Linked DNA regions of Alligator mississippiensis. The protein of the gene in region 3 interacts with the protein of the main gene of each other region in a biochemical or structural test. Links are inferred from orthologs where the notes say so. Each region holds a gene or a part of one and is shown on either strand. Other genes may lie near its edges.

Region 1 (7,058 bases), on a different chromosome or scaffold from region 3:
TTAACTTTGCAACATGTTTTAGGATAAAAAAACTTAGTTCCAAGTTTGATTTGCTCCAAAACTGTAAAGCAGAGATACAGCTAACCTCCGAACGAAGAAAACACATCTGACCCAGGGCAGCGTTTACATGTGGTGGCTGTGTAAGCAGCGTGCTTAGCATCCATGACTAACTGCTGCAGTCCCACAGATGGAAGATGTCAGTATTGCTATGACCGTCTACTGCCACACTACAGCTCTGGATTCACCGAAAAATAATCGAAGAGAAAATTCGCGATTATTAATACTTGTTTAAACTTTGTCAAGTTCACACCCGCGCTGTGCAGAACTGGAGAAGCTGTAATTAGCTTCAGATTGAAAATTGTGAATCATTAGTCTGTGTGATTGCAGGTAACACTATTTAGCATGAACTTGACATTTGAGATGCATGCTGGTAAAGAGGACTTTACTGGAATGATTTGATAGTGCTGGCTAATTATAGTACACTTGAATTAATCCCATTCTCTGAACAGAAGCTGAGTTTTCTTTGGGAAATAAAGGAATTGCTTTGAAACAGTGATGAGGAATTCCAAGAACGTTGCATCATTTACATCAGTCCTGACCACGGACAAAGCCAGGATATCATCTGACCACTGTGATTTCACCCGCTTCAAATAAGCAGCGAACATCACTACGGAGATAACTTTCAGAAATTGTATTTCAGAACTCTGTGACACTGAGCTATCAAATAGAGCGCGATTAACTTCCACAGAAATCAGAGTCCCTAACCATTTTCATGTCTCACACACCAGAAAAACAAAAACCCACTTGATGGGAAAAGTGAGCAGGAAAGAGAGAGAGAGAGATTCATCGGCAAGTTCCTTTAAATCTACCTTTACTGCAAGCGATTCTCTTTGACAGTTTCACCCCGATTTGTACAGCCATATGTTATGTACCTTTACACCTGTATGCACATATTATAGCCCGGGAATAATCACTACCCCGCCATCACAATGCCCCAAAGGTTAAGCTCTGGTATTAAAACTGCTGTGTAGTCCTGCTCACTATAGATGCAAGGTAAAGTGCTTAGTTTATCTGACAATAGCCTAATTAAAAAACTGAAAAAAATCCCATTTGCCATGTAAATCTCAGATAAAAAGGAAAAGTAGCATATCCCTTCTTAAATTCAGAATCCATATTTATCAAAGTGGTTCAAAATTAATCAGCACAGTGCAGAATCTCCTGCTTGCCCTGGGGACATCTGCCATTTCATTCCTAGTCAGTCCCAATGTTTTACACACAGCCAGCACACACGCTTCATTTCTTATCTTTTTGAGCTTCTTTGAGAGACCTGTTTGTAGCGTTACTGGATTTTAAGATTATATAGATGTTAATCCACTAAGAGATGCGACTGGGGCCAAAACCCAGAGAGCCTTGCCTTTAGAAATACCCACCTCTGCCTTCAGTCAAGGGACTACAATCCTTTCCGATGCCTCTTGCGGCTGCAGGAAACATTCGCTTGGAAGTGCCAAGCCACCTTACACACATCACATGCACACCCCGCATTTCAGCGGTTGCAACTAGAAATTATTCACCGTGACACACGGATGTTTAGATGAGCTACAATGCTCGCATCAGGACGCAGCACAACACCAAACGATCTGAAGACAGAGCGGACAGGAAATATCCTAAGCAGAACAAAAGAACGAAATCTTAATGCCGAAGCTATAAAACAACCGTGGGAGGGCAACCCTTCGCTGCAAGACCAAAGCTTTCCATCAGACTCGTTTCTGTAGCAGGCGACCACAGGGCAAGCATTTTTAACAGGTCTGTCAGGACTAACGCTCTGCAAAGGGCAAGTCCTACTTCATCCAAAAATGGCAGGATGCCTGGAAAAAAAACCAAAACATGCTGGTTCTCTCTGTGCTGCTTTTACCCTCACCATCTTTCCTCCACCGAGTTTAGAAGGAAAGAACCTATTCGGAATAAATACTCTTATCTCTATTGCCACAAGCCTCCCCCCGGCCTCAACTCCTGCCACACATTTTACAAGGCCCGTGCGGACAATCTGTGGGTCCACATAAAGCTGACAGCCACCCTGGAGGGGCCCATCTCCGCTCCCCGCCCGCCCAGCGCCACCGCCTCGCACGGCACAAGTTTCCCGCGCGCGCCTCGCGTGCCAGGCGCCGGCCACCGGCCCCCGCAGCGCTCTGGAGAGGGGGCGCAGCAGAGCCGCGGGAGCGGGACGTCAAAGCCAAGTTACTCGTGCCAACTTCGCAGCGTGGGGAGCTGCAGGTCGGACGCAGCGGCGGAAGCCGAGTTTCGCAGGAGGGCCCCCCGCCAGGACGGGTTTGCTCGGCCACAAGCTCCCGTGCCAACCAGAGCGAGTGACCCCCCAGGCGGAGGCAAGGGCTGTCCCCAGCCCCGCGCCTGGGAGAGCAAACTTGGCCCTCCAAGTGCCAGCAGCAATGCGGGCGCCGCTCGCTGCGACAGCCTCAGTTTCCCCATAGTCTCGAGGACGCAGGCAGGGCCGCTCCAGCCGCTGGCCGGTGGTGAGGGCGGCGGCGGCGGGGCGCGGGGGGGCTCACCTGGGCGCACGGTCTTGAGGCGCACGGGCTCCCTGAAGTGGCGGATGACGGCCAGCGTGTCGCGGTGCGTGAGGCCGCTCACCGGGGTGCCGTTCACCTCCAGCAGCACGTCCCCGGGGCTGGGCGGCTTGCCGGAGAGCAGCGCGGGGCCGGGGCCGGGGCCGGGGCCGGGCTCGGCCAGGCGGGCGCCCAGGTAGGGGAACTCTCCGCGCTCGGCGCCGCCGCGCAGCAGCTCGGGGCCGGGGCCGGAGCCGGAGCCGGGGTCGGGCGGCGGCGCCCAGGACACCACGCACTCCTGCACCTTGCTCAGCCAGTGCCGCCGCCGGCGCAGCGTCTTGGACATGCCGCCGCATGGGGCTCCCGAGCCGGCCCGGCCCGGCCCAGCCCGACGCGACGCGACGCGACCCGACCCCACACACCAACCGCCCAGCAACCGACTGCCCGGCCCCGCCCCGCCCCGCCCCCGGCACGCCCCGCCCCCTGACGTCACGCCTCCCCCCGCCCCGCCCCGCCCCGCCGCGCCGCGCCGCGCACGTGTGTCTGCCCGCCCGCTTGTGGGACACGGCGCAGCGCAGCGCGGGGGGAGATTGATCAATCTATCAATCAATCAATCAAGGGGCAGGTGGGTTTAACACGAACCACGGGCTGGGGTCGCTCTTCCCCGGGGCACGGGGCACGGCCTCTGCCTCCCGACGTCCCGGGCCCCAATCGCTGGAGACCGCACGGGAGAGCAGAGCGCGCAACAACCCTGCTCAGAGCCAGCCCGTCCTCGCCGCCGTGCGGCCCGGCCCGGCCCGCCCGCCCGCCCGCTGCAAAGCAGGAGCTGCAGCCTGCTGCCCTTGACCTCGTGCGGGGCCACGCGGCAGTGGCACCCTTTCCCTCCGCGTGGGGAAATGCCACCTGAACGGGTGCTGACAGGTACGCGCGGCCCGCCGGGAGGCTGGGGCGGCCCTCGGGCTCCCGCCCTCCAGTCTCGAGGCTGGGGGGAGTCAGGACAACTCCCGAACACCTACTGATGTTGGCAAGGCTCACGCCGAACCCTAGATGTCAACTTGAAAAATAATCCCTAGAGAGCCTTCTGCTTCAGCGCGCCCGACCGGTCCGATACAGGCCCTCGCGCGCGGTCCCCCAGAAACTGCATTTCTTGCTGCGAAGCCGAGGGCCGTCCCTGCCTCAACCCTGCGAGGCGGGCCGGCTTGCTCTGGGAAGGGGAAGGCGACCGCCTTGCCTCGAGGCTGGCCACAGGACCGTGCCCGTTCAGCCCGCAGCTCAAGGAATCCAGCACAATCGTTTCTGAAGCTCTTCTGTACACAAGGCAATCAAAGCGGAAGCGGGGAGGGTGCGAGGTGTGACCTTACATAGCTGAGATACGTACGCGTGTTCCTTCGCACACAAGGAAACGGCCCACCTCTGGCCCTTGCTCTACGTCACAATCATTTATTTGTTTCCTGATACTCTTGGCCATCTCCACAATAACAGAGACTAGAAATACCAGCTTTGCACGCTGAACTTTCCCCCATAATTAACATCTGTGCAGAACCGTAAAAGGCAGCTAATTTTCTCGTTCAGAAATCACCGCAAACTTTCACCTCTAACAAACGGATACGACGCTTTGCTGTGGGTTTCCTGTGGCTTCTGCACGTCTTTATCTCCACCGGCCCGTATCTCCTATAGGTCATATGGTAATTACTGCCAAAAATAGGGACTTTAACAAAAAAATTAGTGGCATTTGAATCTCGGGACAAAGGGATTTTGGAAGGGCAGCCGGCAGAAGGGAGGATATCATTTAAAAGTTACACGAGTGGCTAGGGAGACATTAACTGGCCTCCAGCTGATCATATTGGTGAAAATATGATTGTGGCTCCGTTCGTGTTAATGGAGCTCTGCCAGGGATGGATCGGACTCATTACATGCGGTGCCATTTGAAGTGTACTTGGCTACCTGCCAACAGACGTGAAAATAACTCAAAATGATCTAAATTTTCTTTTACGCTTGCAGAATGCGAGTGAGAAGGCTGGAGGCTTTGTGGTGTTAGGCATCCTGGACAGTAAAAGGGACATTGTCGAATCCATTTGAATCCAAAATTTAGCATTTCACGTAGACTTGCCACACCAGACTAAATCAATAGTCCAGCCATCCCAGTAGCCTCTCTCTGGCCTTGGCTTGTGCCAAATGCTTCAAAGGAAGGCACAGCAAACCGTAACGCACAGACATTATGGGCAGTTCATTAGAGGAAATTTCTTTCCAAGTCGAGGGTGGTAGTTGGTCTATACCCTTGAAACAAAAAAGTGTTTATAGCCCTCGTAAAAATCTCTCTTATCCTATTAAATGTAACTGGATCTTCTCATTGGCCAAAATTTTAAAAACTGAGGTCATACTCTTAAGTCTACACGGTGGCACCTTAATGGATGCAGCGTGACATTCAAAAGTGCTGGGCGGCTGCAGCTAGCGTGCTAGCCTGCCTCAGTATAGCTCTGGTCGCCCAGAAGGATGCATGTCCAGTCCTCTAGGGAACCTAGAAGGTCTTCACACCTTTTGCCAATGCCTTGCACAGGTTAATTATATATTGAATTTTACAATGGTTCAATAAAACAGTTCAATTTTTATCAAATCCTTCAGTTGCATCATTTTTTTCTTCTCGGGGAAAGGAAATAGGAGAGTTTAATTTACTTTCTCTAATCAGCACCATTCACTAATTTACGTATCTCTCCGTTTTGTCCCTGCCTCCCACACCTCACTGTGGAAGGCTTTGATCCGAGTCTCTGGTTTTAGCCCCCAACCCCTGGTGCCATTCTGTTTCTGTTGTCAGAGGAGTGGCCAGCCCTGAACACTGCCTTCCAGACACGGGTGTTGCGTTGCAGGGTGAGGTCCAGCATGGGCTGCCCCAGGGCAGGACCCTGCCATCCACCCCGCCCGCTCCCCTCACACAAACCCTGGCATTTCGTTGACCTCCCACCCAGCCCTGGGGGAAGAGGGGTAGAGTCTGGTTCATGTTGCTATTGCACAAAGTAAGCGTATGGGTCCCTGGGCCCTCCTAGTCTGAAACCCTTCATCCCCTGCTCAGTGAAGGACACGGTTTGTCCCTCTTCCCTCCCAAGGTGCCATTCTCTCCACAGCCTCCTGCAAGGGAGTCTGGCTTCTCTCTGGAGCACGTGCTCCCGGCCAGGCTCGTTTGCAGGGCGGCCTCTCCCTGTAACCCTGCAGTCCATCTTCCAGGCAGGGCAGCCAGGAGGGGGGCTGCCATCACCTGGCCACTGGTCTCACAGCTGGCACAAGCAGAACTGGACCCTTTGCTCTCCAGGCTTCCCCCCTCTCTGCCAGGCAGAGCGCAGCAGATCCACCCAACAGCAGCAGCAATGTTTTTCGTAGTTTTTCCTTGTACATCCTAATGCTTTGTTTACCTTTTTGATCACTGCTGCATATTGCGGAGAGGCTTTAATTGGGCCATCCACAGTGATACCTAGATCATTTTCCTCTAAATTAGAGTGGCTGTTAAATTATTCATTCCAGTGTGCGTTACCTTGCAGTTGTGAGCGCCCCGTCTCACATGAACCTCCCCATTTAGCAATGCTAGAGGGTTCCTTTTCCTTGGTGCCCTGCTTCCCTTTTGATTTAGGGGCATGTAAGCTACTGGTGACTGCAACCAACTTCAAATGGTAAAAAAACCCCATAAAAATCAAGCCTGGGAAAGTCCTGGAGTGGATTAAAATGATGAGCTAGAAAAGATTTGCATTATTTCCCCATCTTGATTTGCATTGATCTCGGTGCACATTTTCAAGCTTTTCTCCAAAACCAGGAGAGCCAGAAACTCACTTTGAAAAGCAAAATGTAAAAAAAAAAAACCACTTAAAGCTGACACACTGATACATTTACATGACCTCAGGGTTTTAAGAACAACACAAATTATGAGATCTGGCAACACCAACTCCATTCTCAGATGATTAAATAGCTTCCATGCTGAGTCTAATCCATGAAGATGTTAATAGTCTCACTTCTGACTTTCATTCTCTTTACTAGCTTCCTCATTTGTATAATTATAAAGACCATGTATAACTGACTAGCTGTATTCCTTGCTCTAAACTGAGATATATAAAACCAAACAGCCTAACATTTTCAAAAACAAGGGCATGACTTTGAGATCTAGTCACTGGATAAATTCTGGAAATATTAGTCTAGTCTAATCTGCGCCAGTTTCTGTAATCTACAAAGAGATTTTCCACATAAGCCCGTAACAGACACTTATACCTCAAAGGAGTCGGAAATAATTCAGTGATCTCAGATGATGAATTAAGCAAAAGATTTATTTTATTCACAAGTATCCATGAAGACAGCTGTCAACATTTCAGTTCCAAAAGCTTCTCCAAGATCAATGTCCTCAACAAACCTATCTTGTTAAAGTCCCCAAAGCTTAAGTTTCATGCATGCTGCCAAAGCTTTCCTGAGTTCATTTCCAGAGCGCTAATGAAAACTTTAAAGCCTGTTTAAGAGAACCAG
Region 2 (7,131 bases), on a different chromosome or scaffold from region 3:
TCTACTATAAAAATAAAATTTGCCATTCAAGGGCCAGAATAAAACACTGGCAAAGCAGCTGGTTTTAAACAAATCTGCAGGGACTTGTGTTATAGTGACAAATGCAGTACTAGGTGTCAAACAAGGAGGACAAGAGGGTATAAGGAAATATTATGTAAGGTTGTAAATTATGGGGGGAAATAGTTACTTCCCAGGTTGAAAATGCAACCAGCAAACCACCAGATAAGAAACCCAAGAGGGTATTTTGGTAAGGGTTCTCATTTGTTTTAATGCTCCAGAATCAAATCTACCTTCCTCTTCCAAAGACAGAATAGACATCTAGCCCAATGCTGCAGCTCCCCGGGGTATCGCAAGATCCTTTCAACGGTGCCACACACCTCATGCAGAAAGCAGAGCTGGACCGAGGAGTGGCGATGGCAGGAGCAGGCCCTCCTGTCCGCATCAGGCTTATTAGCTGAACCTAGGATAAACTGAGCAGCATCCTGGTTGAGAAACGCTATTGTTGCACTGTCTCCGCTCAACTCAGATAAGCTTATCAGATAAACCTAGGGTAGGCAGAAGCGCTGAGGTCCTGTTACTGCTGCTTCCCAGCCAGGGGTTATGCTCCACATAAGGGGAGCCTTCAGCTGGCAGCAGCAGCACCCCAATGAGAACCACCAAGGTAAACTGAGGCAGCACAACGGTGGCTTTTAACGGTGGTGCCACTAAATTCAGAAACCTTCTGAAGGGGCGCCCTGAATTTAAAAGGGCTGAGAACCACTGGCCCAGGCAAAACCCAATACACAGTCGTTCATGTGTGCCAACCTGCAAGAACACGTTACCAAACCAATTTAATATGAAGTATGGTGCGGGAAACATCTTCCATTAACTATGACACACGTGTACACTTAGCTCACACATTTACATTGTGGAGAAAGCAATGAAGTGTTGTCGTTTTCAAATGTGTACATGGCTTTACGGGGTGCGTTAGCTCAAACAGGTTTGATGACTAGAGTCAGAGCTAGGTTTAGAAATAATACCAGTGAGCACTGTCCTAATCACCCAACCCTCCAATACAAGAGAGGACACTGGAATAAATCTTCTGCCCAAAGGCACTGAGGACTGGCACTGGACAACAGATACTAAGCCCAATTGGGCTCTCACTGCAGCTGCATGGGTACAAGCAACTTCAGCATTTGGCCACTCTGTATTTACAAACTTGTATGAAGAAGGAGTCTTATCATGGCACAATGTAAGATTGGTCTAAGCATTGGCCTAGTGGCTCCCACTGAACGCAAGAGGACTTGGGCACTCGGAAACTATACCTCTATATTCCACTTACATATGTTTTTCTGTTAATATTCAGTCACCTGATCTCTTTTTTTCCATTTCATTCGTAATTTAGCAGCTTTGCCTGTCAGTTAACACAAACTTTTTACCACAATGTCTCGGAGGTCTTGACAGGTTACTAGATCCATTAATTACATGCTAGATCAAACAGAAAAGTAGCAAGGGAACACTGCATCACATTGATTTCTGTTCCCTCCACTCCCATTAAATATGTAATAATTCATTTCTTTGTTGTAGCATCTGATCTGGCCTTTTTCGACATCCCAAAGCAGAGAGGGCTGCTGGTGACACTTGAGATCTCAAGTGTATGGGTAAAAATAACCTGTCCTCAACAAGACATGATGAACACCAGACAGCTGAGTCACCTCTGAAACCCATTTGGATTCCCCAAATTAAAGTGAAATATCAAAGCAAAAAAAAAAAATACGAATTGAGTTAAAAATCAGAATCGCGCAAACATCTGAAAACTCAGGATTACAGATGTTGTGCTTCTTTTTGATTTCTCTCTGGCATATTGGGCAGGGGGCTGGACTCGATGATCTTCCGAAGTCCCTTCCAGCCCTAATGTCTATGAAATGACACTTTAACTTGATGTCAATGCACAGTACTCACCTTACTTATGGAAAACTATATTAGAAGCACATTCAACTTCAGTGGATTTAAAACAGCCTTTCACTTCCCTTACCTATCATCTAAGTGGAAGGATTTGATGCCTCACTGTTGATGTTTATAAGCAATGAAGAGAATAGCCAAGACCCCAGATCCTGCAACCGAACCCAAAGAAGTATGTTGTTTTACATGGGCGCAAGTCTCTACATGGATCCAATTGCAATATCAGGGCCCAACGAACATGTGATAGCATCGGAGGCCGCACACACCAAGCAGAGACCTGACAGCCAACTACACAAAAAAGGGATAAAAAATGCGACTCTCCTGCGGGTTATAGCGATGCCCCTGTACAAAACGGAAGAGGTAAATCTCAGGTAGGGCCGGGGGTTTTTTAAGTGACCGGACATTTACACCGAAGGCCACACTACGGAGCATCCCGCTGACACAAAATACATGAATGGGGACGCTCGCTGCCCGTCGCCAGCTCTGCAGGAACGCAAAAACCCAGCAGCGACGCGCAGAGCCGAGGGCCCCTGGCAAACTGCCCCGAGCCCCCTCCAAAAACCGCCACACCGGCGCCCGCTCGGTGGCTTCGCTTGCTCGGGGAGGACAAGGAGGAGAGAAGAACCGGGGGGCACTAGTCCACCGCCGCCCGGAGCCTGCAAAATCAAACCAACCCCCAGCCTGGGAAACCCAAGGCCTAGTGCCAGCTGTGAAGGGGGGGCAGCGAGCGGGGGATCCCCCCACTTGCCCTTTGCAATGCCCCTAGGAGCGGAGGAGCCCTGGCTTGCCCTGCGGCGAAGGGAGGGGGGTCGCACTCACGGGCGAGTCGTAGGAGAAGGCGCACTCCGCCTTGTAGACGCGGTCGCCGGCCTTGGGCACGCGGATCGTGGGCATGTAGGGCACCAGCATCTCGCCCAGGTCCGCCGCCGCCATCTGCGCATCCCGCCCGCCGCCCAGGAGCGCGGCGCGCTGCATGCTCCCGCCCGGCCCCGCGCCCGCGCCCGCAGCCCGCGCCGCGCCGCGCCGAGCCGAGCCGAGCCGGGCCGGGCGGGGGAAGGGGGGCCGCGAGGGCGGCTGCTATTTTTAATCCAATGGCAGCAGGAGCCGCACCAGCTGCCGGGCCGGGGGCGGGGAGGTGCCCGCCGGGCCAAGCCGGAGTGACACCCGATTCCGTGCCCCGCCCGCTGCAGCGCCGAGCACCGCCCGCCTGTGTCCAGCCCCGCGCCCGGCTCTAGGCCGCAGCTCCTGCGGGCTCGGGCAGGAAGGGGGAGAGGGCTTGCTCCCCTTTGCCCCGGGGGAGAGGCATCTCTGGCCTGGGTGGCTCCTGGGGTGCCGTTGTCTCCCCCCAAAACTAGGGGACAATCCCACCTCTGCCCGGGCCAGGGGAAAAGGGCAGACCAGGGTCAAGGCGATCCCTTTTAGCACACCGACTCAAAAGAGGTGGAAATGCTCTTGTGGCCAGGCTCCGAAAGCTGTTCTTAGCTGCGCCGCCCGCGTCCTAAAATGAACTTTCCCTGCAGCCAGATCCATGCACCCTCCGCGTCCGCGTATTGAAATGATCCATGTACCGCTGAAATGATCTGAGCGGAGGCCGTTGAACCCGCAGGATCGCAGGCGGATCGTGATGAGACCCCTTCTCGGCTTTAGAGGGCTTCGCAGCGCGCGCCGCCGCATCAGATCTCGCCTGGGGGAATTTCGGCCAAATCACAAGACCCAGAATAAAGATTTCTCCCCCCCCCGCACCCCTCCTGGATCTTGGACACTGTTTTACAACCAACTCGTTGTCTCGGGACTGTGCTCAACTGCAGAGATTTCCTAAGGCAGTGGTTCTCACGCAGGATGCCATGGCACCCTGGGGTGCCCCAAGACCCTTTCAAGGGTGCTCCGGGGCTGCCACGCAATGTTAGTGCTGTTAGGTGTGAAAACCACGTTTCACGAGATAAAGCCAGAGATTTCAACTAGGAATCTGGAGTGTTAAAAACATTCCTACTTGTTGTGGCCTTTACGAGTTATTTGCAACAGGAGAATTGCTGGGGGGGGGTTTCTGTAGGAAAAAATTTGAGAGAAAAATAAGAGTTACTGTTTTCTGAGGAGTGCTTTGAGTCGAAAAAAACCGAGAACCACTGGTCTAAGGTATTATTATAATCTATTTGTTGAATAGACTCCAAGCTATATCATGGTCAAACTGCGGCAGGTGTTGGATGACCCGACAGAGGACATGCAGGAAGCCTGCGGCACTGCTAGGGTATGAACCCAGACTTCCTGAGTCACAGGGTAGTGGTCTAGTCCAAAACCATATTTCCTTTTCTCTGGTTCATTTATGTTCTTCTCATGTTGGAAGGGATGTTGATGGGCTAAAGGATAGGGGGACTCTGAAGATAATAACAGGAGTGGAAAGAAGTGACTAGTGACAAATTGAAAAAAAAATCTGAAAAATGTATCTAATTATTTCAGGGATTTTTACAATTTGACACGAGTCACTTCTTTCTGCTCTGGTCTACAAAGATACACGATGGATAGACCATTACGTGACTCCTGCTGCTGTTACATACAGTTTACACTGAGGCCCTTAAAGTGCAAGCAAAGTGTTTACATCAAGGGATGAAGAAACAGAACTGTGAAATGCTTCGTGTGGAAGCAGCGCTTAGGGTGAAATGCTTAATTTATAGCCTTTTAAGAAAGTTAGCCCTTGTAGCATTGGAAATTGTGTGTTAAATCCTGAGGGCATTGTATAAACTCAGTAGAATTACTCTGGACCAGTGATCCCCTACCTTGCTTGCTCATTGGCAACAACACTGAGCAAGCAGCATGTTGCATGTTGCTCCTGCTGTTAACTTTAAACTTTTCAACTTCCTATGGGTGCAAGTAACATCTTCTCTGTGAGCCAGTGGAGACCACTGCTCAGGACTTACCCGAGAGCAGCATCTGTCCTGGTAGCAAAGGATCTGTTAGGTATTGGAGAAAGAGTCGAGGGTTCCGATAGAGGGATTTCTTTCAAACTGGAAAGGCTCATGAGCACATAACTCCTCTCTTGCTAATAACACAGCATAATGGAATGATATGAACAGAAGCCACTTAACCTGCAGGAAGATAACTGGCAGATCACAAAGAGCTTGCTCTAAAGACCCCGTTGGTTTTAGTGGGCTTTACAGCATTTGGCTGCAACAGAAAAAACAAACGAGGTTGTACTTATTTGAAATAGTCTATGAAGCATGGAAGAAAGAAGGTTATTATCATGAAAAGGGAATGAAAGAGGGTCACTTCTACTTCTGTTGGTAAAAAAGGATCAGAAACCCACCGGTCAGTAATCTAGATTCAATGTGTAGCGATCAGACCCTGAGGAAATGCTACCCCCTAGCGGGAAGAATAATGCCTGCCAGGCTAAAAAAAAAAAAAGCCGCTTAACAGTAAGTACACTTTACAGTCATTTAAACTTGTGCAGTGCATCTGCGCCTCTGTACAATTCTGAAAATGTAAGATGGTGCAAGCACGTGTGCCCTTACGGTGCCAGAGTATATTTTTACAATTTAAAACAGCGATTGTTGCCCTAGGGTGTCACATCAGAAGGATGGAGTGATGACCATCCATCATTGCACTGGGCACTAACACAGAAAGGTTGACACACAATACAGCCGCTAGCATATCTGAGACATTATTGGATTATCTATAATAATTTTTATCACCCTGCCATCTGAGCACAAAAAAAGAATTGTCCTTATGCCCAGCTCTTACAAATTCTGACCTATTTAAAATTATCTTTGCTGAAGAACATTTCCCTCTTTAACATCACTCAAATCTGCCCTTTGATGTTCGGTAAAAAAAGAAAAGAAACAAACTAATCGCACAACACCCACCCTTATTATCAGCATTGTAACAGGAAACTCCATGCTTCAGTTTTAGATATGAACTTATTTAACCTTTAGTTAAGGCATAATCTATATTCACTTATTGAATTTTCTCATTAGATGGTTGCTTGAATAAGACCTAAATGTAATTTTGGATTACAGTCTGCTTTTACATGCCACAAAGTGTTCCCCAATTACTTTTAGGCAAACTAGACGAAAAGTATAAAGCTTTTATTGCTTCGTAAATGTTTACATTTTTAATTAAAATAATTAGTTATGTTCTTCAGGGATCCAATATGCTGAATATTTTAATCCATAAATACCCAGATTTGACTTGCTGTTTTTTGGGTATGTAGAGTAAAACAACACTGCATGTATTATGCTCTTGTTTGGGCTAATTTAGCACATGGGGAACAATCAGAAATATTCCTGAATGCTTTTTTTAAAACAGATGTTTAAAAAATTAATTTAGAAGCTTGCCTAATCAAGCATCCAACAGTGTTGCACATTTGAATTATCAATTAGGTTTTTAAAATACGAGATGCTGCATAGGTAGCTCATTATCTTGCACAATTCTTGTTAATAGAACAAGGGATTCCTAGGTCTCATTTTCAGCTGTGTTCAAATTTGGGCACACCGCTTCCCTTAGTAAGAGTGGATCAATGTCAAGTCCACTGGGCCCGAGTTTGAACTATTAACTGTTGTGTATCAGTACAGTTCCCTGGACCTTGCCGCTTGTTCTTCAGCCATCGTTAAAGCTTTTATGGAAACCTCCATCAACTAGCTTCCTACTTTTCTCTCCTTAGTCCACAGACAGTTCAGTAGAAGTTGGAAGCTTCTCCCTTTTCATATGCTACTAGCATCTTCCTTTTTGCATTAATAAAAGCTGAATAACCTATCCATCATAGGGAATACCCTTAGTTTTAATATTTGCCCATTTGGGTCCTTCAGCATGTGTTGCTTCAAAACCCAGCGTAAGAGTAAAAACCATCGGGGCGGGATTCTTCAAAAGCACCCAAAATGATTTAGGACCATAACCCTCAATAAAGTCAATGAGATTTGTGTTCCTTAATCCTTCTTCATGCTTTTAAAACACTTTGTACTGGAGTTCCACTCCCACCTGACAATATACGTATGGTCTTAATTTTGTCATTTGTCAACTATGAATAACGTCTAATTCCCAGGAGCTTGTCAAAGGATTAACTGGATTTACAGTTACTTTGAATGTAAAGTGTTAGTTGTGTATTGTAGATAACGATGTCATTCTGTGTAGTAGAAGTATCTTGAAATATTAATATATTTATTGAGCACTGAGCTCAATCCTTCCTAGATAAAGAAGCTCTGT
Region 3 (7,609 bases):
AGAAGTATAATAAAATAAATTCTAAATACCTATATATTTTGTCATTTGATTTGGGTTTTTTTATCATAGAATACCAGAGCTCCCCCCTACCCCCTTTGCTCACCAGGGCATGGGTCCAGCTGCACCTGCCCCCTCCCTCCCTGCTTCATGGTGCTGAGCAGCCCTGATATGTCCCTGCCAACGCTTTTGCCCCTCATTTCCAACCCACAGCCCTGCCACCTCAGCCCTGTTGGTGCCTCTCACTCCTAACCCACACTCCCCCATTTAGCAGCTTACCTGCTGTTGTCTGTAACTGTTATCTTCAACAGTTCTGTTGTTGCATGGGTTTTGTTTTATTTTATCAGTGTATTAAACTAGCCTCTCCAAGATAGAGCTGCATAACTCCACTTTGTCACTACCTGTATTTTCTCATACACTGGAAAGGGAGGGTTGTTCTAATGACTAAAACACCTGCTGACTTAGAATTGTATTTCATTAGGCTATGAAGAGACAGGTTGTATATAACAAAAATCATGCTTTTATTTTTTAACATTATTAAAAGCATCCCTTGTACATCTGAGAGACTGGACTGTCCTCCCATCCTCTTTACACTTAAGATGAGCCCATCTTAAGACATGCAGATACTCCTTTGGCTATTGGGTTACAAAGGGTTTTTGTACTGCTGCTCCATGATTCATAAGAGTGTCGTTCTCCCTACCTTCTCCAGTATGTCTGCCCTGCTTTAACCTTATTATTTAGCTCAAGAATTTGACACAGGATTTGTCTTGGAATTCATTCCACTGACCATAATAGGATTTGGATTTATTGATGTACATGAGCTACCCAGTTTAATAAATCAGATTAAGATGACTCACGGATTCTACCACCAAATCCATGCACTGAAATGTGTACAAGTTCTTAAAAAAAATGGGAGAACCAAAGTAGGTACTGGACCTTTCAGTTTAATTTGGTTGCATCTGCAAGGTGAATACTACCTACCTAAAAAAAACCCTGTAAATAGCTAGTTCAATATAGCTATAGTTCATTCAGAGCTATTACATTATCACTTCATATTTTCTGTACAATTTTTATATTTTTTTACAGAATAAAAATATATTTTACCAGAAATGTAATCTAAAATATGTATATTGATTTACATAAGGCTATTATTTGTTCACAGCTCCTTCAAACTTCAATGTTAAAAGAGCTATAGTCCTCTTAACCATATTTTTCCTATTCCTTTTTTAAAAAGCTCACACGCCATTCATTGTCTACACACATTTCAAAAAATTATCTGTAATACTGAGTGTTTCATTACTAGTTTATTCTTTCTTAAAAGAGTATTTGAATTAGCCATGTTTCAGGAAAATGTTTTTCCCTGGTCCTGTATTCCCTTCCACTGAACAAAATTAAGTGTTTTATGCGATTAAAAATAAAACACTAGGAAGCACACTTCAAAAATAATCAACATAATTATTTGACTACTTTGGCACCAACTTTAAAAAAAATCTGTAGATGAAAAATATTTCAGGGCAAATAAAGGGAAAGGTTAGTATTTTTCATAAGCCAATAGATGTCAGTTCCAAGCTAAGGATATTTCCATTTTATATCATGCAAAATAAAAAAAACTGGGTAATTTGTTGATTTTTATGCTATAAGCTAAAGACTAGCTTTTGTACAAATATATGTTAACAAAAAATATGGATCAGTGTCTAAAGTCAAATCTTCTGGTTACACTCCAGTATTGTAAACATGAATGTATGCAGTGTTGTTTCTCAAGAAGAGAAAGAAAGAAAGAAATCAAAGTTGTATCCTAAAGGATTAGGTTACCTATTTTTCATATGTGCTGATGCCCCAGACCTGGGTCTTCCTTTCCCATTGGTTTCATCCTTTCAGGAAGGTCTTCATCTGATTTTGTTTTTCAGGTTCAGTGGAGTCCTCATGGACTCTTTACTCTTTGTGTTTGTGTCATAGATTTGAGGAGATATTTGTTGGTTTGTTTGTTTTTTGGGGGGCTTTTTCAAGAGAGGGAGTATGTCCCCACTTTTATTTGAGGAATGTCTCAAGCTGATTGTTTTCCATGCATGAGAAACCTGTGAAATGACATATTTTAAGAAGTAATTACAATGTTTAAGGGGGTGCTGTTTTCAAGCATATCCATAGAATATCCTGAAAAACGTACTTTGTTTCAGAGTTAGGAAATTTTAACACAAGCTAATATTTCACTGCTATACTCAAAAAACAAAGAACACCTGATAACTGAAATCAGTGGGCTTTTCTACTCAAAAATCATGTCTTGATATTTGTAAGATGATGAGAGAATCTCTGCTTCACAACTCTTGAGCTTGGTGAATTGTATCTCCCCTTATGCTGGAAGCTTCAGAACAGAAGAAGAAATTTTGATACGGTATTTTTCAAGAAAAGCAGAGAGGCAATTTTCCAAAACAAGTGAAGAACATTTGGCTTCAGAGGGAAAGCAGAAGACAGAGACATTTATCAGGATAGGTAATTCCATCCTTCCTCCTTCCATGTTCAATATTGATGCATCTAGCAGAACTGAGAACTCAATGCATAACCTGTAAAGCAGGTTTCTTTTCAAAGGCTTCTTATTTAGGAGTGTGGTGGGAATGATACCAGAATGAGAGAAGTACAAGAAGTGTGTTGAGTAGGGAGTGGAGAGAGAGAAATAGGTAGCTGGGTAAATGGCAGTCACAAAAGTAGAACTGCATTGTGGGAGATACATATAGCTGTACTGTAGCTATGTTTATTTTAGGCTAGCAGTAAGACTTTAGTCCTACTTTCTGTTTTGCCTGTTGGGTTACAAAACTTTCTATGGTACTGCTCCATGATTCATTTGCTTTTATTTGTGGGGGACTCCCTTGGGACCACGCAGCAGGTGCTTAGTAGGGGGAGCAGGCTCTATCCACACAGTAGATGTGACTTCAGAAAATCCAGATTATTTTATTGGAATGACAATAGATACAAATATTGTCAAAACATTAAAGAAAAACAGACAATTCTCTCTCCATCAGGGCAGATAGATTATTCTGATGATGTAATCTCATGCTCACTTGCTACATTTGTTCATTTCTGTATAGTGTTCCCTTGTTACCATTCGATGACATCAGCAGACATTTATGACTGAGAAAATCTCTCATTGCCCCCACTAACCTGAAAGAGGAATAAAAACTCCATTTCAAATCTTTCACTGTCGTGTTGGCCACCTAATCCTTCCATTCAATTTGTATGCCTTCCCTCTTCTACTTAGGGATTATCATGCATTTGGGAAGTCACACTTCACTTCTGCATTTTACTGCATGGGGGGGGCACCCCCATCATGGTTATGCTGCTCTCCTGCTGATGGAGGCTTGCCCTTGTATTCTTCCCAGTGCTTGAAATAATCAGGCCCTTGGGCGTTGGGCTGGTGTTGTTAGCATTGGATGTAGGCCTTGTGTGACCAAAGGTACAGGAACAGAGTACGCTGGTAACCCTGAATTTTTTTTCAGTGACTGCAGCTACTCTCTGACCGAGGGGGTTTCTTGATCACAGGCAACAGGTGGCGCCACAACCCGCGTCGCAGGCGGCTCGCCCGCGGGAGGACAGTTCTCCCGCTTGGCAGCAGCTTTCAGAAATTTCATTCCACATTTTCACCGAGGTGCAGCGGGGCCCGGAGGCAGCCTGGCTCTTCGGCTCTGACCGGCGGGGAGGCAGGAGTTCACCTTCCTCCTGGCTGCAGATGAGGCAGGAGTGGGCCCTTGTTGTCCCACAGCCCAGCTGCCGCTTCTGCCACATCCAAGCCTCCTCCTGGAGCCCGAAAAGCCGCACCGAGGCGCGTAGGGCTGGGCAGAGGCACTTGTGTTTCGCTGGGGGAAGCCACGGGGAGCAATTCCGGGTGCTGCTGCCTGTGGCCACCGGCGCCCCCGCGCCGAAGAGCTTCCCCAAGAAGTTGCCCCAAGCGGCCTCCTCAGCCCCGGGACCAGCGGGCCGGCGGATCCCGCTGCCTCCCTCACAACTCCCCCTGCACGGGGCGCGCGCCACAACCCGCACCGCCCCGCGAGCCACCTCCTGCGGCCCCGGGCCAGGGCCGAGCTCCCCCCCAGTCGGGGGAGGGGGCCCGCAGCGGGCAGGGGGGACCACGTGACCCGAGAAAGTAGTTCCGAGTTGGCAGCGAGAGTATCCCTCCGCCGGCCTGCGGCCTGCTCCTGTGACCCCCAACACTCCCCTCAGGAGAACTCTCTATCCTTGCCCCGCAGCGCCCCAGCCCCACGGCGTAGGGGCCCGCAGCGAGCAGCGGGGCAGGGGGGGCGGCGCGTCGTGGGGGCGGGCGGCCGCGGAGCGATGATGTGGCGGGACTACTTTGCGGCGGAGGGGGCGGGGGCGGTGCCAGTGGAGCGAAGCTGTTCGGCGGCCGGTCCCTCCGCGGCGCAGCAGCCATGATGGAGGCTTGAGGCGCTCGGAGCTGCCGCGCGCGGGGAGGCCGCAACCATGAGACGGGCCCGGCTGGGGCCCCGCGCGCAGCCCAGGTCTTGAGCGCGCTGCTTTGCGTCTCCCACCGACCCCGCGCGGGGCTCGGTCGCCTGTCGCCCGCCCCCCGCCCGCCGGTGCGCGGCCCTGAGCGCGGGGCCGCCGCCGCCCCGGGCGGGAGCGGGGCCCGGCCGCTGTCACCATTTCTGGGGCGCGGAGCGCTGGAGGGCGCCTCTCCCCGCCTCCGCCTCACTCGCCTCAAAGACGGCGGCGGCGGCGGCGCAGCCCGGGACTCGGCCGCACGCTGAACCCCTCCGCGGCCGCCGCCGCCGCCCCGGGCCCGGCCCCCGCTCCCGCTCCGCCCGGGGCCGCGCGGGGAGGGGGCAGCAGCCGCCGCCGCCGGGAGCCGCAGCAGCAGCAGCAGGGGGAGGGGGGCCCGCCGCTGCCCCGGGGCCCGGCCGCCTGCGGGCCTCGGGCTGAGCCGCGCGGGCCGCCCCCCCGCTCCGCCGTCCAGAGCCCCGCGGCCGCCGCCGCCCCGAGGTTCGGGGGAGCCGCCTCGGCCCAGCCCCGAGCCCTGTGCGCCCTGCCGCCGCCGCCGCTGCCCTGCCTGCCCGCGCGGCTCCTCGGCGGCCCCCGGCTCCCAGACATGACCGCCATCATCAAAGAGATCGTCAGCAGGAACAAAAGGCGATACCAGGAGGATGGCTTCGACTTGGACCTGACCTGTATCCTGCAGCGGGCTCCTGCCCCCCGGCGCTGCCCGGGCCCGAGCGCGCTGGAGTGCCGACTCCGCGGCCCTTCCCGCCGGGGCCTCGCGCTGACACGGAGCCGGCCCGGCCAAGCCTGCCCCTCCTCGCCTGCCGGGGCCTCTGCGCCCGGGACCGCGCTTGGTCTTTGTGGTGGGGGTGCGGTGCGGTGTGGGGAGCACGGGCTCCTGTGGGACTGAGCAGGGGGGTCTGGGCCTGCCGCGCTGCTGGTCCCGTGCGGGAGAAAACGGGCTGAGAAGTCCTTTGATCCCTGACAGTCATGTCAGGCAGGTTAACGGGGCTTATGTGCAGTAATGGCGATTGCAAAAGATTAACATTAGCGCTCATTTGGAATTGGAGTCTTCTTGCCTGGCCTGCACTGGCACTTACCTTATTTTGGTGTCATGCCTCACTGACACTCCCAGATAATGACTTCGGTGCCCATGCTCAAAGTAATCTTCTGCCTCTCCTTAACTTGTTGGTTGGGTTTAGTTCAGATAGAAGGGGGTTGATTTTTTTTTTTTTAACTGAGCTGTGTACTGTCTTAATTTGGTATCTTAGCTTCTTGAATCAGAAATACCTTTAGCAGATGCATAGCCTTACTTAGTGTTAGTTTGTGTGTGTAAATGGATAGCAAATGGATCCCTTTGATCACATTTCTATTAGTTAAACCTGAGGTTTAACTAAAGATCATAGATGCTTGTGTCCAAATACAAGAAAATAAGCAAATACATTTATCCTTTTAATTTAAAAACAAACTTCAGTGAAAGCTAACATTCTGTAGCCATTGAACTTTACTTCATACTGATCGTTCCTGTAGGTATGAGGCCCCTGTCTTTTTTGCAAATGAGAATAATTAGGTTCTTGTTAACTGAAGCATTGTTTTGGATATATGAAACTGTGAAGAAGAGTTTTTTGCAATATTGGTATGCCATTGGGACTAACCAGTGAAACCATAAAGCGCTAGAACCATATAGTTCTTTTGGCCTGTTAAAGGGATGCATTATGAAAGCATCAGACAGATGTTAGGCTGCCAACATCGTGAAAGGATCTGTCATTTTTCCATCAGAAGTGGAGGTGGTTGCAGATGCTATAGGTTGAACCCACTTTTCACTTTTATCTGTTCTTTAAAATAAAACATCCTTAATGCAAGGATTAGAATTGTAAACATTGAAAATTAGGTTAAGGACCAGAAGTTTAGCTAGTAGTGCTGAATGAGAATATGTTCTGCCTCACAACAAGGACAAGCTGCTTACCGTTTTCTCGGAACATGAGAGAATTAAGTCACAGTTGCAACTACAAATGCGCTTGAGTTCTTGGATATACAGATAGCTAACTGAAAGATTGAATTTGTAATGTTACGTTGATTTAGGACTCAGTCTAAAATGTTGAATACTTAACAGATAAGTGTATTGGCATTGGCAGATGACCCTTAAGGATGTACCTTCCTGATTTTTATTTTATTCTATGAACATATTGACCAAATAATGCTTTATTGTCATTTTAGAGCTGTTTTAAATTCTTCAAAATCTATATTTTGATGACATAACTTGAATAGTAGTAGAAGACTGCATCATCATGCTATAGGTTAGTAGAACATCTGCAGTAATAATATCTGCTCAAACAATATAGCATAAACATCCATGTAATAATATGCCTTATAGCCTAATTCTGTAATTTTGAAAGTTAAGGGTGGGAAGAGAGTAGGGAGGAAAAAAAACTAGGAGCAAGAAAAGAAACCAAATTTTATGCATCTCACTTTTAAAATTTGTCCTTAAAAAGTCTTTTTCAAAGGTGTAATGAGAGTATCTGACAAAACAGAACTTGCATTTATTTATCTATGAATCTAGGTATACTTATTTTTTGTTTCTTGGCAAGGAAATTGTGGGCTATTAATGATTTTGCCTCTTACTTAGCTCAGCATTTGAATGGCATCTTCAGCATTGTTACAGAATTTGTGTGCTCACCCAGAAAAAACCATAAATCTGTTTTTGGGGTTTAAATTGTAAAATGATTTCAATTAAACTTTATTTAGTTACTGTACTTGTAATGAATTAAGTACAGTAGACTTGTACTTTTTAAAAACTACTTTGCAAAGTATTTTTAAAAATGCTTTGCTGAGGAGTTGGTTTTCAATATTAAACGTCATTTTCCTTGTATGTATGTTATTGCAGATTCTGAGCAGTTACTTTATGAAGGAAGAATGCTGTATGTGCCAAATAGCAAAATGTAATTGGATGTACTAGAAAATTAAACCAAGAAAATTGAGGGGTTTTTCTTTATTCTGTAAAACCTAAAGAAGGAAGCCCTTTACAGTTTTTAATGGGATAACTACTCATTATCTAACATCTGGAAGGTATTAAATTGTGCTCTTTTTAGGTAGCTTAACCACTCTTTTCGTGTGTTACTTGTGCACTAAA

What was found.
Region 1: the proteins of PTEN (region 3) and MAGI3 form a complex in vitro, tested with the Homo sapiens proteins (2 studies listed by BioGRID and IntAct, with this or other methods). The link is inferred for Alligator mississippiensis from reciprocal best matches to the Homo sapiens genes PTEN and MAGI3.
Region 2: the proteins of PTEN (region 3) and USP13 form a complex in vitro, tested with the Homo sapiens proteins (3 studies listed by BioGRID, with this or other methods). The link is inferred for Alligator mississippiensis from reciprocal best matches to the Homo sapiens genes PTEN and USP13.

Annotation. Positions count from the first base shown.
Region 1 is NC_081837.1:45,114,783-45,121,840, reverse strand, and holds the start of MAGI3 (membrane-associated guanylate kinase, WW and PDZ domain-containing protein 3), read right to left. Parts: upstream 3,005-7,058; 5' UTR 2,908-3,004; coding exon 2,565-2,907; intron 1-2,564.
Region 2 is NC_081830.1:80,509,746-80,516,876, reverse strand, and holds the start of USP13 (ubiquitin carboxyl-terminal hydrolase 13), read right to left. Parts: upstream 3,005-7,131; 5' UTR 2,917-3,004; coding exon 2,761-2,916; intron 1-2,760. UniProt on the Homo sapiens protein: Deubiquitinase that mediates deubiquitination of target proteins such as BECN1, MITF, SKP2 and USP10 and is involved in various processes such as autophagy, endoplasmic reticulum-associated degradation (ERAD), cell cycle progression or DNA damage response.
Region 3 is NC_081829.1:65,953,077-65,960,685, forward strand, and holds the start of PTEN (phosphatidylinositol 3,4,5-trisphosphate 3-phosphatase and dual-specificity protein phosphatase PTEN), read left to right. Parts: upstream 1-4,607; 5' UTR 4,608-5,089; coding exon 5,090-5,168; intron 5,169-7,609. UniProt on the Homo sapiens protein: Dual-specificity protein phosphatase, dephosphorylating tyrosine-, serine- and threonine-phosphorylated proteins.